Linked DNA regions of Anolis sagrei. The protein of the gene in region 1 interacts with the protein of each later gene in a pairwise test. Links are inferred from orthologs where the notes say so. Each region holds a gene or a part of one and is shown in the gene's direction. Other genes may lie near its edges.

Region 1 (7,958 bases):
AACCATAAAAAATGTAAATCTCAATACTTCCAGAGACATTGTTATCTAGTTAAGCCCTGCTTTTTATTAATCCGACACAGAAATCTATGTGCCAGATTCAGATGCAATATCGATAGTTTGGTGCAACGTAGTTGACAGTTAAGGGTTTGTCTGAATGCACACACTCAGACTTAAGATTTGGTGATCATTGACTGAAGCAAGTTCAAATTCTTCTTACACAAAAACTGTTCCTGTCCCCATCCCCAGATGTTGGGGGCTGCTCTCATCAACCTGATTTCAAAACAAAGTCTGTTTTGAGCAAACTAATTTCAGTGTGTGATTTTGAGTAACTCTAGTTTGACTCCAGCATTAAAGGAGCCCTGCCAGTGATTTAAAAAGCAGTGTTTCAACAAAAGACATCAAAGCCTAGGAGGCACAGCATGGTTTCCAGGAAATCAGTGTTTTAGCAAAAAGCCCTACTCGGTGGCTTTTTCTACGATTCTGGGGAGAGGAAATCCCCTTCAGTTCAGTTCTAAGATAAATGTCCAACTGGTTTCTTCAGCCATGTTACCGGGTACATGTCTTAAGAAAAAGGCAGTAATGTCATTCCCTAAATGCCACACATTGTCACACTGCCCTAATAGAGATGTTACAACTTGCTTGACCTGGCAAATCACTCACCTGATCTCCTGTCATTATGGGTATTGCCTCAATGCAGTAAGTCTGACTGTAGATTAATTTCCTCGCCTGGGAGTTATTGAAGCTTAATGTTTGAGTGATAGTGTTCTACAGCCTTGGAGCACTCCACACTGAAGAGTCACAATTATTTAGGAGTTATATTTCTGGAGATGCTTTCTAGTTTCAGCCTTTTCATTATTTCATAGAACAATATATATCTATTCTAGTTGGGGGCAAACCAAGAATGGGCAATGTGGAAATCCCTGAACAGACACAGAAGTGAAGTGGGCAGATCAAAAGACAACCTGACAAAATGGCACTACCTAAAAGAATCCTCCACCTTGTGTGACTGTGGGGCAGAACAAACAACTCCGCATCTGTATGCTTGCCCACAATGCTCTGCCTCATGCACAGAGGAAGAATTGTTTAAAGCTGCAGACAATGTGGTTGCTGTTGCCCATTTTTGGTCTAAAATTATGTAGCTGCTTGTGCTCCCTCTATTTTATCAGTTTTATACTTGTTTTATTTACGCAATGCTTTTGACATGAAATAGTCTGGGATAGAGGGTTATATAATTTGGACATCTTGACAGCAGTTTTATGTTTTCAATACTTTTGTGTGTTATGTTTAATTTGACTGAAATAAATTTGGATAGGTTCCTTTATGCACAGACCCATAGATCTTTCTTACTCTGGACCAGACAATTGATCTATTTAATTCAGTAGTTCTACCATAATGAATGGAAGTCTTCTAAAACATAAACCAATTAAGATAACATAGCAGCATTTATTATTTCATATGCATACCAAAAAAGGGAAATGCGAAAGACTGCTCAAACTTCCGTACAGTGGCCCTTATTTCTCATGCCAGCAAGGTAATGCTCAAGATCCTGCAAGGAAGACTCCAGCAATACATGGAGCGAGAGTTGCCAGATGTTCAAGCTGGGTTTAGAAAAGGCAGAGGAACGAGAGACCAAATTGCCAATATCCGCTGGATAATGGAGAAAGGCAGGGAGTTTCAGAAAAACATCTACTTCTGCTTCATTGACTATTCTAAAGCCTTTGACTGTGTGGATCATAATACATTGTGGCAAGTTCTTAGTGGGATGGGCATCCCAAGCCACCTTGTCTCTCTCCTGAGGAATCTGTACAAGGACCAAGTAGCAACAGTAAGAACTGACCATGGAACAACAGACTGGTTCAAGATTGGGAAAGGCGTACGGCAAGGCTGCATCCTCTCACCCAACCTTTTTAACTTGTATGCAGAACACATCATGCGATGTGCGGGGCTGGATGAATGCAAAGCTGGGGTGAAAATTGCTGGAAGAAACATTAACAACCTCAGATATGCAGATGACACTACTCTGATGGCCGAAAGCGAGGAGGAGCTGAGGAGCCTTCTAATCAAGGTGAAAGAAGAAAGCACAAAAGCCGGGTTGCAGCTAAACGTCAAAAAAACCAAGATTATGGCAACAAGAATGATTGACAACTGGAAAATAGAGGGAGAAACCGTGGAGGCTGTGGCAGACTTTGTATTTCTAGGTGCAAAGATTACTGCAGATGCAGACTGTGGCCAGGAAATCAGAAGACGCTTACTTCTTGGGAGGAGAGCAATGTCCAATCTCGATAAAATAGTAAAGAGTAGAGACATCACACTGGCAACAAAGATCCGCCTAGTCAAAGCCATGGTATTCCCTGTAGTCACCTACGGATGTGAGAGCTGGACCTTAGGGAAGGCTGAGCGAAGGAAGATCGATGCTTTTGAACTGTGGTGCTGGAGGAAAGTTCTGAGAGTGCCTTGGACTGCGAGAAGATCCAACCAGTCCATCCTCCAGGAAATAAAGCCCGACTGCTCACTGGAGGGAAAGATACTAGAGACAAAGTTGAAGTACTTTGGTCACATCATGAGGAGACAGGAAAGCCTAGAGAAGACAATTATGCTGGGGAAAGTGGAAGGCAAAAGGAAGAGGGGCCGACCAAGGGCAAGATGGATGGATGGCATCCTTGAAGTGACTGGACTGACCTTGAGGGAGCTGGGGGTGGTGACGGCCGACAGGGAGCTCTGGCGTGGGCTGGTCCATGAGGTCACGAAGAGTCGGAGACGACTGAACGAATGAACAACATGCATAATTACAATTTGCCAGGTAGCCTGGTATTAGGCCCATGTTGCAGTCTGGAGGAAGCAGATTAAAAGACAACAGTTTACCTAAGGTTAATTCATGTCTGGAGTAAGATTTGGGCTTGTTTGTTACTAGATGCAGCTCTATATGTTATGCAGCCACAATTCTTAGAGCATTGAGATGGCCTTCATATAGCTGAGATGGGGCAGGCTTTGAATATATATATTTGGTCATATATATTTGAACATATAGTTGGCCAGACCTCACCTGAAATAACACTGTTAATTCAAGTAGGATATTGACAAGCTGGAACATGTTCAGAGAAGGCAACCAAAATAATCAAAATTTGGAAGCCAAGCCCTGTGAGTGGCCAAGGGAGCTGGGTGAAAGGAGAAAGGAAGCTTGGAGAAAGGAAGGCTAAAAGGGGACATGGTCACCATGTTTCAATATTTCAAATGATTTCATAAGGAAGAGGGAGAAGGTTTGTTTTCTGCTACTTTGGAGGTGCTACATGGAGCAATGGATTCAAATTACAGGAAAAGAGATTCCACCTAAATCTTAGGAAGATTATAATGTATTTTTATTTTTTGGCTTTTAAGTCTCTTCCGCTATGTTTTCCAGTGTTTTTATGAGTGACGGTCACTTGTTGGGTGTGATAGGTGTATTGTGTCCAAATTTGGTGTCAATTCACCCAGTGGTTTTTGAGTTATCTTAATCCCAAAAACAAACATTAAATTTTTATTTATGTAGATCTTGATATTAGAGGTTTTTTGAGAGACTCCCTCCTGGGCACACAGAAGACTGGGCGACTTGGAAGGCGCTGAACAGACTGCGCTCTGGCACCATGAGATGCAGAGCCAACCTTAAGAAACGGGGCAAAAAAAGGGGAATCCACGACATGCGAGTGTGGAGAAGAGCAAACCAGTGACCACCTGCTGCAATGCAACCTGAGCCCTGCCACATGCACAATGGAGGATCTTCTTGTGGCAACACCAGAGGCACCCCAAGTGGCCAGATACTGGTCAAAGGACATTTAATAAACTACCAAGCTTGCAAATTTTGTATTATGTCTGTTTGTTTGCTTTGTTCTGTTAGAAATGTAATATGTAATATAATTGACTGGCTGCCCTAACACGAAATAAATACAGTACCCTAAACACGGCTGATCTCGGATTGACAGCCACAGCTTGAGGTTCAAACCATTATATCACATTTCATGATTTCCTTCCCTCTCATTTTCCTATCTACCTTTCTTTCTCCCCTTCCTCTGTTTTGGAGAGAGCATTTCCTCCCTTATTTTTTTTTTGGGGGGGGGGGGGGGGAGGGGAATAGAGAAAGGAAAGGAGATTTAAGAAGCAAGAGAGCAATGGAGAGGATTCCTACCAAGCTTGCACATTTTGTGTTTTGTCTGTTTGTTTGTTTTGTTCTGTTAGAAATGTAATACAACTGTCTGGTTGCCCCTGACACAATAAATAAATAAATGAATAAAAAAGTGCTTGACATTTGGAAGTTGTAGTTCCTGGGATTTATAGTTCACCTACAATCAAAGAACATACTGAATTCCACCAGCGATGGAATTGAACCAAACTTGGCACACAGAACTCCCATGACCAACAGAAAATACTTAACGGATTTGGTAGACATTGGTCTTGAGTTTTGGAGTTGTAGTTCACCTACATCCAGAGAGCACTGTGGACTCAAACAATGCACCAGACTTGACACAAATACTAAATATGCCCAAATGAGAACCCTGGTGGAGTTTGGGGGGAAATGGACCTTGACATTTGGGAGTTGTAGTTGCTGCGATTTATAGTTCACCTACAATCGAAGAGCATTCTTTGGGCCAAACTTCCCACAGAGAATCCCCACGACCAATAGAAAATACTGTGTTTTCTGATGCCCCCCCCCCCCCCCCCGTCCCGACTCCCAGGTTGAGAAACGCTGTTATATGGCATCGGCTCAAGAGGCACAACTCATGTCACGTTCCCTGGCACCTCTCCCTCCCGCCTTTCTGGCCCAATCTGCGTGCGCATGCGCCTTGCCTTCTTACTCGACCGAAGCCTCACCGCGCCTTGCCCTCCTCTTAATCGCCCCGCTCTTCCGCGCATGCGCCCACCCGCCCTTCTTTCTCTCTCTCTCTCCCCCTCCCTCCCCGGCCCCGCGAGTCTCGCGAGAAGCCGGGATTTATTCCTACGTGCTGTGCCGTGCTGCTCATGGCGGCGCTGGAGCGGGGGCGCTGAGCTGTTGGGGTAAGCGGGGCTCCTCGAGGGCGGGGGGCGCCTTCCCTGGCTTCGGGGGGAGGCCGGAAAGGGCGGGGGAGCTGGGTAGGCCTCCTGTCACGGCGGTCCCGGGCGCCAACGGTCCGGAGGGGCTGCTCCCCCTCCCCTTCCCCTCCCGCCGTGCGTGCGCGCTCGCTTCCCTTTTGCCCCGAGAAGGAGGGAGAGAGGAGGAGAGGGAGGCCGCGGCGGGCTGGGAGTGCTGCCTCTTTCCCCTTCGCCTCAGCCGGGGAGAGAAAGCGCTCGCAGTGGGCCCGAGCCTTGGCAGCACTACACTTCCCGGCGTGCACTGCGGGTCTTTGCCCATTGCTCTCTCCCTCCCCTCCCGCGGGGGCCGATGGGGGATGGAGTTTGGCGGCGCCGTGGTGTTGAAAGCGGCGGCGGAGTGTGCCTGCCAGGGGCCTCGCCGCTTGGCCTGCTGGGGGATGGAGTTCCGGCTCCCGCCGCCTCTCGGTGCGGAGAGAGGGGTGCGAACTCTCTCTCCCGGCATGCAGCGGGCCAATGCAGGGAGGGGAAGAGCAGGTCAATCTTCCTTTGTGTGAGGGGGAGCGGGCGCCATTTTCCTTTTTTTTTACTCACTCCCCCCAATCTTGGCCAGAGAGGGACACGCCCCAGGCCCTTGTGAGGGAGAACCGGAACGCCTTCGCCTGCAAGCCCCTCACACGGCGTCCGGAGGCCGGCGTTGTGGCGTCCCTGCGCGCCGAGCCCGGGCTTCGGCGTCCCTTTCCCTCCGATGCGGACCCCCACCCTGATTTCCCCTCAGCAGGAGCAGGAGCCACCATCTTGCTGCCCAAGGACCATGTGCCTCGGCGCTTGACAGTGTGATGCTGCATTTTGCGGGGCGAAATGGCCACTCCAGGCCTAACGAGTAGAGACGGAGACAGGGCCACTCTGGTCACTGGAAACCTTTAGATTTAACCTCCAGAGAAGCCGGCGGTAGCCCTTTCAAATCGCAGAAGGCTTTCTTGAGACTGGTGACAAGTAAAACAATGTAAATTAAACAGGATTGTCATATTTTTATGCATACTGCAGGCATGGGCCAACTTGGGCTACCAATATTAAAAAAAAACCTCTAAAATTACAACAACAAAACAATAGAGAGGAAACAAAAAAGGACATCTAATCACCTCTCGACAAAAGATTGCCCCAGGCACTACCAGGCCATCAAATGCTAATCAAGGTGGTCAGTTGAAACATTCACACCTAGCTCCAACAGACAAGAGTTCTTTGTCCCACCCTAGTCATTCCACAGATATATAAACCCATTTTCCTAGCTCCAACAGACCTCACTACCTCTGAGGATGCTTGCCATAGATGCAGGCGAAACGTCAGGAGAGAATGCCTCTAGAACATAGTCACATAGCCCGAAAAAACCTACAACAACCCAACTTGGACTTTCCCTCCAGAGGTTTCTCATTACATTTGTGTGACATACTAACATGTCGCAACAGAGTTTTGATATCCCTGCTGTATAGGCTACTATAAATTAAAAACAAAAGTAAAATGAAGGCTTTGCTACATATTGAAACCCATATGAAACTTTTGCCCCACTCTGTAGAGCAGGCATGGGCCAACTTGGGCTTTCCCTCCAGGTGTTTTGGACGTCAACTCCCAACATTCCTAACAGCCTTAGGCCTTTTTCTCTCCCCCAGCCACTTAAGCTTAAGGAAGGGGCCTGAGGCTGTTAGGAATTGTGGGAGTTGAAGTCCAAAACACCTGGAGGGAAGGCCCAAGTTGGCACATGCCTGCACTATTGAACGTGCCAAAAGTTACATGTGGGTTTCAATATGTAGCAATGCCTTCATTTTTGTTTTATTTTTAATTTATAATACCATATACAGCAGAGATATCAAAACTGTCTGTTGCGACATGTTAGTATGTCACATGAATGTAATGAGAAACCTCTGGAGTCTATGTGAAATAAGCAATAAATCATATATATTTTAGAAATACAAATTAAAGATATGTCCCCATAACGGTTCGTTATTCCAGTTTTTGTGTGTCTTTATATTTCTTGGGGCCCTTCCAGACAGGCCCAATATTCCAGAATCACATCCCAGATTTTTTGCTTTCTAGATTATATGAGTCTGCACTGTCAGATAATCTGGTATAAACAGAAAACTTAGGATCAGATCCTGGAAGGGCCCTTGGTTTTACATCTGGTTTGCTAGTAAAACTGAATTATTGTGTTGCAAAATGATGCATGTTTGGAACATGTATCACAAATATTAAATGTTTGGAAAGCTCTGATACATATAGGAAATAAATTACATTGTGTGAAAAATTCTCTTAAAAACATTTTCATAAAGTAAACATCAGATACCTTTGTGACCTTTGACCCACCTTGTACAACTATTTGGATACAGTATGCTCCTTAAAATACTAAAATATATATTTTAAACCATTGGTTGATGAGCCTTGTATTTGTCTGGTTTGACCCATGCCCATTTGTAATTAATTTGCTTGTTTGGTCTAGAATGGCAAAGAAGTCTACTTCTGTCTTTTACTAAACCATTATTCTTGTTTGAATTAAACCCCTGTTTTATAACTTATACTGGAACTTCGACTGAATTCAGTTGTTCTAAATTTTGTCCATTATTAGAATATTTTAGTGTGATCTTTTGAGAAACTATTCAGAGAAATTTCCAGTTCAGAGAAGTTGGACTTACAAAAAAATAAATACCAAATTATTTTTATTACCAGCTCCACTTTTGTTATGTATTGTTATCTCTGGCTATTAATTCCCTATATCTCCTGATAGTAATTACCTATGTCATTCAGCTAATTTTAGGGTGCTAGCCTATATTCAAATTAATTTGGATAAAAACCTTTAGTAGGTGTCTATATAAATACCATGCTATTGTTCATGGATCGTGTCAATGCCTCCGTTCTTTATGTAGCTACCA
Region 2 (7,983 bases), on another chromosome or scaffold:
AGATCAGGCAGGACTTGGTGCCTTTGGTTATTTAAAACCTTTTTAAAGTAGGATATATAGGAAGACAAAATGGAAATGCAATATTCCACAACTGGTAGAGCAACTTTAGAATAATAGAATCATAGAGTTGGAAGAGATGTCATGGGCTATCCAGTCCAACCCCCTGCCAAGAAGCAGGAAAATCACATTCAGGCTTTGAGCCTTGAGCAGATTGAGATCACAGCAGGGAAGTGTGCACCAAATTTCAGGATGAGTCCCCTTGGACCACAAACTACTATTAGTAATTAACACATTACTCTCAACAGTACAGTCTTATGCTGTCTCTAGTGCCATTGAATTCAGTGAAGCTTCTTCTTTGATAGTCTGTAGTTCTATACACTTCTAAGCCGCTAATATGGATTTAAATTCCCTCAGCACTCACTCACACACATATATACATTAAAGGAGAAGGGAAAGAAATCCATCTATTATTTAACTACTTTTAAAATAATCTCATTTGTAAATATAAAAGGACAAGTAGAATATATTAAGATAGAAGAGGAATGTTGAGGTGTTATCCCATTGGAAAGTGAGGAGATGGGTAAATACCATACATGCTATGTTGAGGAAGGGAGGAATGAAAATAAGCTAGTTCATAATTTAAGAAATCACATTGACAGAGAACAGGAGGAGATTATATAAAGTTCTGAGCCTGTTTTCAAGGTACTTTTCAGACTGATATTTTTCTGCCCCTTGCTTGTAGATGGTGGAGATGGAACTTGGGACCTTTTGTAGAGTGAGCATGCTTTGTGTGCACTTGTGGAAAATATATAATTTTTGTACGGTATATATTTTGCAGACAACCATTTATGCATGGCTTAAGGATGGTGTACAAGTTTGGTTATGATTTAATTAAAATATTTTTATTCTGTTATTCTTTCTTTTTCACTAGAAGTTTCTGACTGGGATTTTAGGCCATCAACAGTTACTCCAAAATTGTCCACATGGGAGGCTGAGATAGTGACACCTTTGCTGTTGATTCAGTATACACAAATTTATTAAATTTTATATTGTGTATAAAATTCCTTTTGGGTTGTGTGTATAAACTGTATATGAAAACATAATGGATATTGTATTTATATTCTAAGATATAAATTGTTATGTGGAGTTTGTTTCCAAAAGGTACTACATCCAAAAAAGAAAATTGGTAGCAGCATGTTGTTGGTTAGGAGTAGGATACAATATACAGATAAAAACTACCAAAATATATCAAATCACTCTGGTACAGTGCTTGGAAAACTGAATTTATAGCAAAAGAATGCATATCCTCAGCCCGTTTTTTCACGGTTCCTATAAAATTTGTCCAGATGGATTTGGCACCTTTTTGAAAGAAGCTTCATATATGCATATGTAGATATTACAAAATCTAGAATACATTGGGCCCTGCGCATTTTGAATAAGAGATACTCAACCTGGATGCCATTGTATAGTATGGGACATGAGCACTTTCAGATTTTGATAATCCAAAGGCGGTCCTGCAACTAAACTTTCAGGTATGGCAATGACTCACTGCATATACAGCCAGCCCTCCACATTTGTGGGCTTAACTTTTGTGGCTTATTCACAGATTTGATTAAAATGCCCTTTCAAGGAAACTCTACACATCCAGTAGAATTTGACTACAGAACTGCACTGGAAGACCTAGAGATTCCAAGAGAGAACAACATTATTGGATTCCTTAGGTCCTCCAGTGCGTTTCAGGTGGAGGTTGACCACAGAGTCCTTCTGGAGAACTTAAAAATGTATAGAGAAGTGTTCTCTTTTGGCTATTCTTCACTTTTGAGAGGGTCTTGTGCCCCTTGCCCCAGCAGATGTGGAGGGCTTGCTTTACAACTGATGAGAAGATTGAAAGTGAACATTTGTTTCTTCTTCCCTGCCTTTTCCTTTTTCTTTTCCTTCTTTAAAAATACTTTTTATTGTACTTTCATAACTTGTAATAATTTTTTATGATGATAATAATAATAACAATATTTATACCTCACTTTATCTCTCCTGAAGGATACTCAAAACGGCTTTACATAAAAGCATTAGCATACAATTTAAAATATACAAATGTGAATATTGAAACAGAATTAAATATAAACAGTATTTAAAAATTCAGTTAAAATCCATTAAAACATATTCAAAGTGAAAAACCACAGCATCACTGATTAGATCTTTAAAACCTTCATCTTTAAAAGCCTGTCTAAATAAAAAAGGTTTTTGCTTATTAATAACAATAGAAGGCTTGTGTAATGCTGAGGTCAGAAGTCAACTTTACTTGATTTCTTTTTTCTTTTTCTTTTTCATTATCTCTTTTGCTCCTTATTTTCATTGTACTTTTATTAATGACCAGTACTAAAATTAATAATAATAAAAATATTGAAGGAGGAGGCTTATATAATAGCTGAGAAGATTGGAAGTAAACTTTGACTTGTTTTTCTTCTTTCCCTTTTATCTCTTTTCTTCCTTTAAAAAAATATTTTACACCCGCTAAGTAATGTCGACAGACTCTACCTGCCCAGAAAATCAGGAGGTAGAGGGCTTCTGCAAGTGAAACGAATGGTAGAAGAAGAGAAACATGCACTGGCAGATTATATGAAAGGCAGTCAAGAACCAACATTGAAGAAAGTCAATAGTAGTAAACTGCTTCAAGTGCAAAAGACAGAGTGAATACCGTAAAAACACAATCCAGAGCAGAAGAGAAAACTGGCAAAAGAAGGCTCTCCATGGACAGTTCCAGGGAAAAATTGAGAGCCAAATTGACAAAGAAAAAACATGGCTGTGGCTCACAAATGGAACTTTGAAAAAGGAGACGGAGGGCCTGATTCTGGCAGCCCAAGAACAAGCCATTAGTACCAATGCCATCAAAGCCAGAATTGAAAAGTCAGCGACAGATCCCAAATGTAGACTCTGAAAGGAAGCAGATGAAACAATAGATCATATCCTCTGAGGGCCCTTCCACACAGCTCTATATCCCAGAATATCAAGGCAGGAAATCCCATATTACCTGAGTGTGGACTCAAATAACCCAGTTCAAAGCAGATATTGTGGGTTATATGACTGTGTGGAAGGGCCCTGGGTTATCTGAGTTCACATTGCCATATATTCTAGTTCAAAATAGATAATGTGGGATTTTCTGCTTTGATATTCTGGGACATAGAGCTGTGTGGAAGGACCCCCCCCCCCCCCCCCCCCCCGACGATCAAGGCAGGAAATCCTGCAATACCTGCTTCGGACTGGAATATATGGCAGTGTGGACCCAGGGCCCTTTCCACACAGTCCTATATCCCAGAATATCAAGGCAGGAAATCCCACAATATCTGCTTTGAACAGGGTTATCTGTGGGCCCTTCCACACAGCTCCATATCTCAGAATATCAAGGCAGAAAATCCCACATTATCTGAGTATGGATTCAGAGAACCTAGTTCAAAGCAGATACGGTGGGATATTTTGCCTTGATGTTCTGCATTATATGACTGTGTGGAAGGGCCCTGGGTTATCTGAGTTCACATTGCCATATATTCTAGTTCAAAATAGATAATGTGGGATTTTCTGCTTTGATATTCTGGGATATAGAGCTGTGTGGAAGGACCCCCAGACTATCAAGGCAGGAAATCCTGCAATATCTGCTTCGGACTGGAATATATAGCAGTGTGGACCCAGGGCTCTTTCCACACAGCCATATAACCCAGAATATCAAGGCAGAAAATCCCACATTATCTGAGTGTGGATTCAGATAACCTAGTTCAAAGCAGATATGGTGGGATGTTCTGCCTTGATGTTCTGGGTTATATGAAGGTGTGGAAGGGCCCTGGATTATTTGAGTCCACATTGCCATATATTCCAGTTCAAAGCAGATAATGTGGGATTTTCTGCTTTGATATTCTGGGATACAGAGCTGTGTGGAAGGACGCCCAGACTATCAAGGCAGGAAATCCTGCAATATCTGCTTTGGACTGGAATATATGGCAGTGTGGACTCAGATAACCCAGTTCAAAGCAGATATTGTGGGTTATATGGCTGTGTGGAAGGGCCCTGGGTTATTATCTGAGTTCACACTGCCATATATTCCAGTTCAAAGCAGATAATGTGGGATTTTCTGCTTTGATATTCTGGGATATAGGGCTGTGTGGAAGGACCCCCAGACTATCAAGGCAGGAAATCCCGCAAGGCCTTTGATCTTTGATATTGCTGTTTTTAAATTGTTTTAAATTGTGTTCAATTTTAGCCTGTTCTTGTAAGCCGCTCGGAGCCCCAGGGGAGTGGCGGCATATAAATTTGAATAATAAACAAAATAAATAAAAATATCTGCTTTGGACTGGAATATATGGCAGTGTGGACCCAGGGATCTTTCTGACTGTGGGAGCCGTTCAGCAGTGGAACTCTCTACCCGGAGTGTGGTGGAGGCTCCTTCTTTGGAAGCCTTTAAACAGAGGCTGGATGGCCATCTGTCAGGGGTGATTTGAATGCAATATTCCTGCTTCTTGACAGAGGGTTGGACTGGATGGCCCATGAGGTCTCTTCCAACTCTTTGATTCTATGATTCTATTCCACACAGCCCTATAACCCAGAATATCAAGTCAGAAAATCCCACATTATCTGAGTGTGGATTTAGATAACCCAGGGCCCTTCCACGCAGCCATATAACCCAGAATATCAAGGCAGAAAGTCCCACAATATCTGCTTTGAACTGGGTTACCTGAGTCCACAAAGGCATATATTCCAGTTCAAAGAAAATGTGGGATTTTATTCAGCTGTGTGGAAGGGGCAGATATGGTGGGATTTTCCTGTCTTGATATTGTGAGTGACATGGCTGTGTGGAAAGGCCCTGAGCTATGGCGGTAGAAGGGATGCCAGCCCACCTCCTTTCTCCTGAGGGAAATGGGAAGGGAGGCAGGAAGGAAGGCGGATGGAGGGAGCCGGGCAGAGCGACCCCGCGTTTCCCGCTGCTTCTGGCGGGGAGGAGAAGGGAGGAGGCCCGGCCCGCCCTGAGGGAAAGAAAAGCGAGGGAACACAGGAGAAGGAGGAGGAGCCGAGCCGCCTCTCTGACGGGAGACGCATCTGACAGGAGGGAGGGAGGCAGAGCAGGTGAGGGATGGAGACCGGCAAGGCCGCGACGTGGAGAGGAGGAGAGGGGAAGGAGGAGGAGGGCCATTAGAGGCGGGCAGGGCCAGGCGGCGGCTGCTTTCCCGGATCCAGGAGGATGGGGAACGCGGACTCGAAGCTCAACTTCAGGAAGGCGGTGATCCAGCTCACCACCAAGACCCAGGTATGGCTCAAGGGAGCACCTGCTCAGGGCGTGGGGATCTTAAAGGGGACTGGCCTCCTCAGGAATAACGGTGGGACCCAGGCAGGTGCTTCTTTTGAGGCCTCTGTTCCCCCTCAGGCCCTGCCTTCTTCACAGCTGCTCTGGCCTCCCTCCTAGGCCACATCCACAGCCCCCAAAGCTCAACTGAGCAGATCCCTCTGCCTGCTGCCCTGGCCTTCCTTTCAAGGCTGGCCAGCCTCAGGCCCTGCTGGGATTTGGGAGCCTTCTGGGAGCTTCAGGCCGTGATAGGCATCTACATTAGGCCTGGGCAAACTTCAGCCCTCCCTCCAGGTGTTTTGGACTTCGATTCCCACCATTCTTAACAGCCTCAGGCCCCTTCCTTTCCCCCCTCAGCCGCTTAAGCGGCTGAGGAGGAAAAGGAAAGGGCCTGAGGCTGTTAAGAATGGTGGGAATCGAAGTCCAAAACATCTGGAGGGAGGGTTTGAAGTTTGCCCAGGCCTGGTCTACACTGTGGGATGAATGCAGTGTGACTCCGCTCTGACTGCCACCATTCAATTCTGTTCAATCCCAAGGGTTTTAGCCTTACCTGCCCAAGAGTTCTGGTGCCTCCCCAAATGCGAATCCCAGGATGTCATTGAAGGAAAAAAGATGTGTGACAAGTCCTCTCATAGGTAGTGATAAAGGTTTCCCCTTGATATTAAGTCTAGTTGTGTCCAATTCTGGGGGTGGTGCTCAACTCCATTTCTAAGCCAAAGAGCCGGCGTTGTCCATAGATACCTCCAAGGTCATGTGGCCAGCTTACTTACTTAGGCGATCCCTCATTGTCCGAGTAGGATTGTCTTCCAAGATTGGTGTCCTGGCGGTGGGTCCGTAGGTGACTGTGGAGCCCTACTCTTGATCTGCATGTTCTCCCGCAGTGAGGGCATCAGTTTCCGAGCATAAGGTGGCCCCGGTAAGCTTGATGTGCCTTCCTTTTGGCATTTTTCTCTCTTTTTCCCTCTATTAGTGTCTCTTCAAATTCTACAGCACTGCTGCTCACAGCTGACCTCCAGCTGGAGTGCTCAAGGGTCAGGGCTTCCCAGTTCTTGGTGTCTATGCCACAGTTTTTAAGGTTGGCTTTGAGCCCATCTTTAAATCTCTTTTCCTGCCCACCAACATTCTGTTTTCCATTCTTGAGTTTGGAGCAACTGCTTTGGGAGACGGTGGTTGGGCACCCAGACGGCATGACTGCATGGAGCACCATTACCTTCCTGCAGAAGCGGTACCTATTGATCTATTCGAATTTGCATGTTTTCTAACTGCTAGGTTGGCAGACGCTGGGGCCAACAGCGGGAGCTTGGCCTGCTCCCCGGATTTGATCCGCTGACCTTTCAGTCAGCAAGTTCAGCAGCTAAGCAGGTTAACCTGCTGCACCCCTGGGGGCTCTCATATCTCCATGCCATAGTACTGAGCCATGGTGGCTAAAGAGGTGTCCAGCTGCATTCGTTCTACAGTGTAGAATATGCACCCTTATGGACAGAGCTATTCAGCAGGCGATGGCGGGAAGGCTATCTATGGGGAGAAAGACTGAGGAAGTTGGAAGGATGCATTCAGGTAATATGTTGTAATCATGCCTGATGGCAAACACCAGCCCTGTCACAAATGACGTCACTGAAGGAGGAAAAAAAAGTGAGACTGAAGGCTCAAGTCCTTTCCTATCAGCACACTGTAAGGGATATTTTATGATGTTTATCCAATTTGTTGAATCGGCTATTTGATTCCTCACTATATACAGGTTGAGCATCCCTTGTTGGAAATTTTGAAATATTCCAAAATCCTAAACTGGTCACATAGGTGGCTGAGATAGAGACACCTTTGTTTTCTGATGGTTCAGTGTACTGCACACAAAGTCGGTTTCATGCATCAAATTATTAAAATTACCTTCCGGCATGTGTATAATGTGTATATTAAACAAATCAATCTTGTGTTTCAGTTGCATTCCATCTCCAAGCTGTCTCATTGTGTACATACAGGCAGTCCCCAAGATATGAACAAGATAGGTTCTCTAGGTTTGTTCTTAAGCTGAATTTATACAGTATGTAAGTCAGAATAGGTACATTTTTAAAGTGTAACTCCAGGGATAGCATAGGGAAGTGATAACAACCCTGTGGTGTTTGTTTAGCTGTTTGTTTTTCTGTACCCCTGTTTAAAAGATTTCCCTTCACTTTCTGTCCCTGATAACTGGATTTTGAAAAAAAATATGGCTTGTTGTGGAAGCAAGGATAGGTGATAAAGCTTCAGTGGAGACACATTTTTCTCATGGTAACTCTTTCAAGAGTGAATTTCCCTTCCTAGAGATAGATTTCTTTGACTTCCTGTTGTCTCGCCCCCATTCTTAACTATGAATTGTTTGCAAATTGGATGTTTGTAACTCGGGGACTGCCTGTATATGGAAATACAGCTATTCATAATAATAATAATAATAATAATAATAATAATAATTAAAAAAAACCCAAACACTTCTGATCCTAAGTACTCCAAATAAGAGGTACTTAAACTTGTACTTCTCCATGATAGCTATGGTAATCCTTTCATGAAAGTTTGAAAAACAAGGATGGCAATGCTGTTGGAGGAGTTCTGCAAATGTGTTATTTTTAGTTGGATTGCACTTAAATCTTAAGTCAGGTTCATGTACAAGTCTAGAAGCGTAACAG

Evidence for each region.
Region 2: the proteins of CSDE1 (region 1) and HID1 interact in binary tests that used the Homo sapiens proteins (3 or more experiments, as listed by UniProt). The two-hybrid records come from large-scale screens. The link is inferred for Anolis sagrei from reciprocal best matches to the Homo sapiens genes CSDE1 and HID1.

Annotation. Positions count from the first base shown.
Region 1 is NC_090024.1:203,342,512-203,350,469, reverse strand, and holds the start of CSDE1 (cold shock domain-containing protein E1), read left to right. Parts: upstream 1-4,916; 5' UTR 4,917-5,025; intron 5,026-7,958. UniProt on the Homo sapiens protein: RNA-binding protein involved in translationally coupled mRNA turnover.
Region 2 is NC_090022.1:116,956,551-116,964,533, reverse strand, and holds the start of HID1 (protein HID1), read left to right. Parts: upstream 1-4,931; 5' UTR 4,932-5,224; coding exon 5,225-5,290; intron 5,291-7,983. UniProt on the Homo sapiens protein: May play an important role in the development of cancers in a broad range of tissues.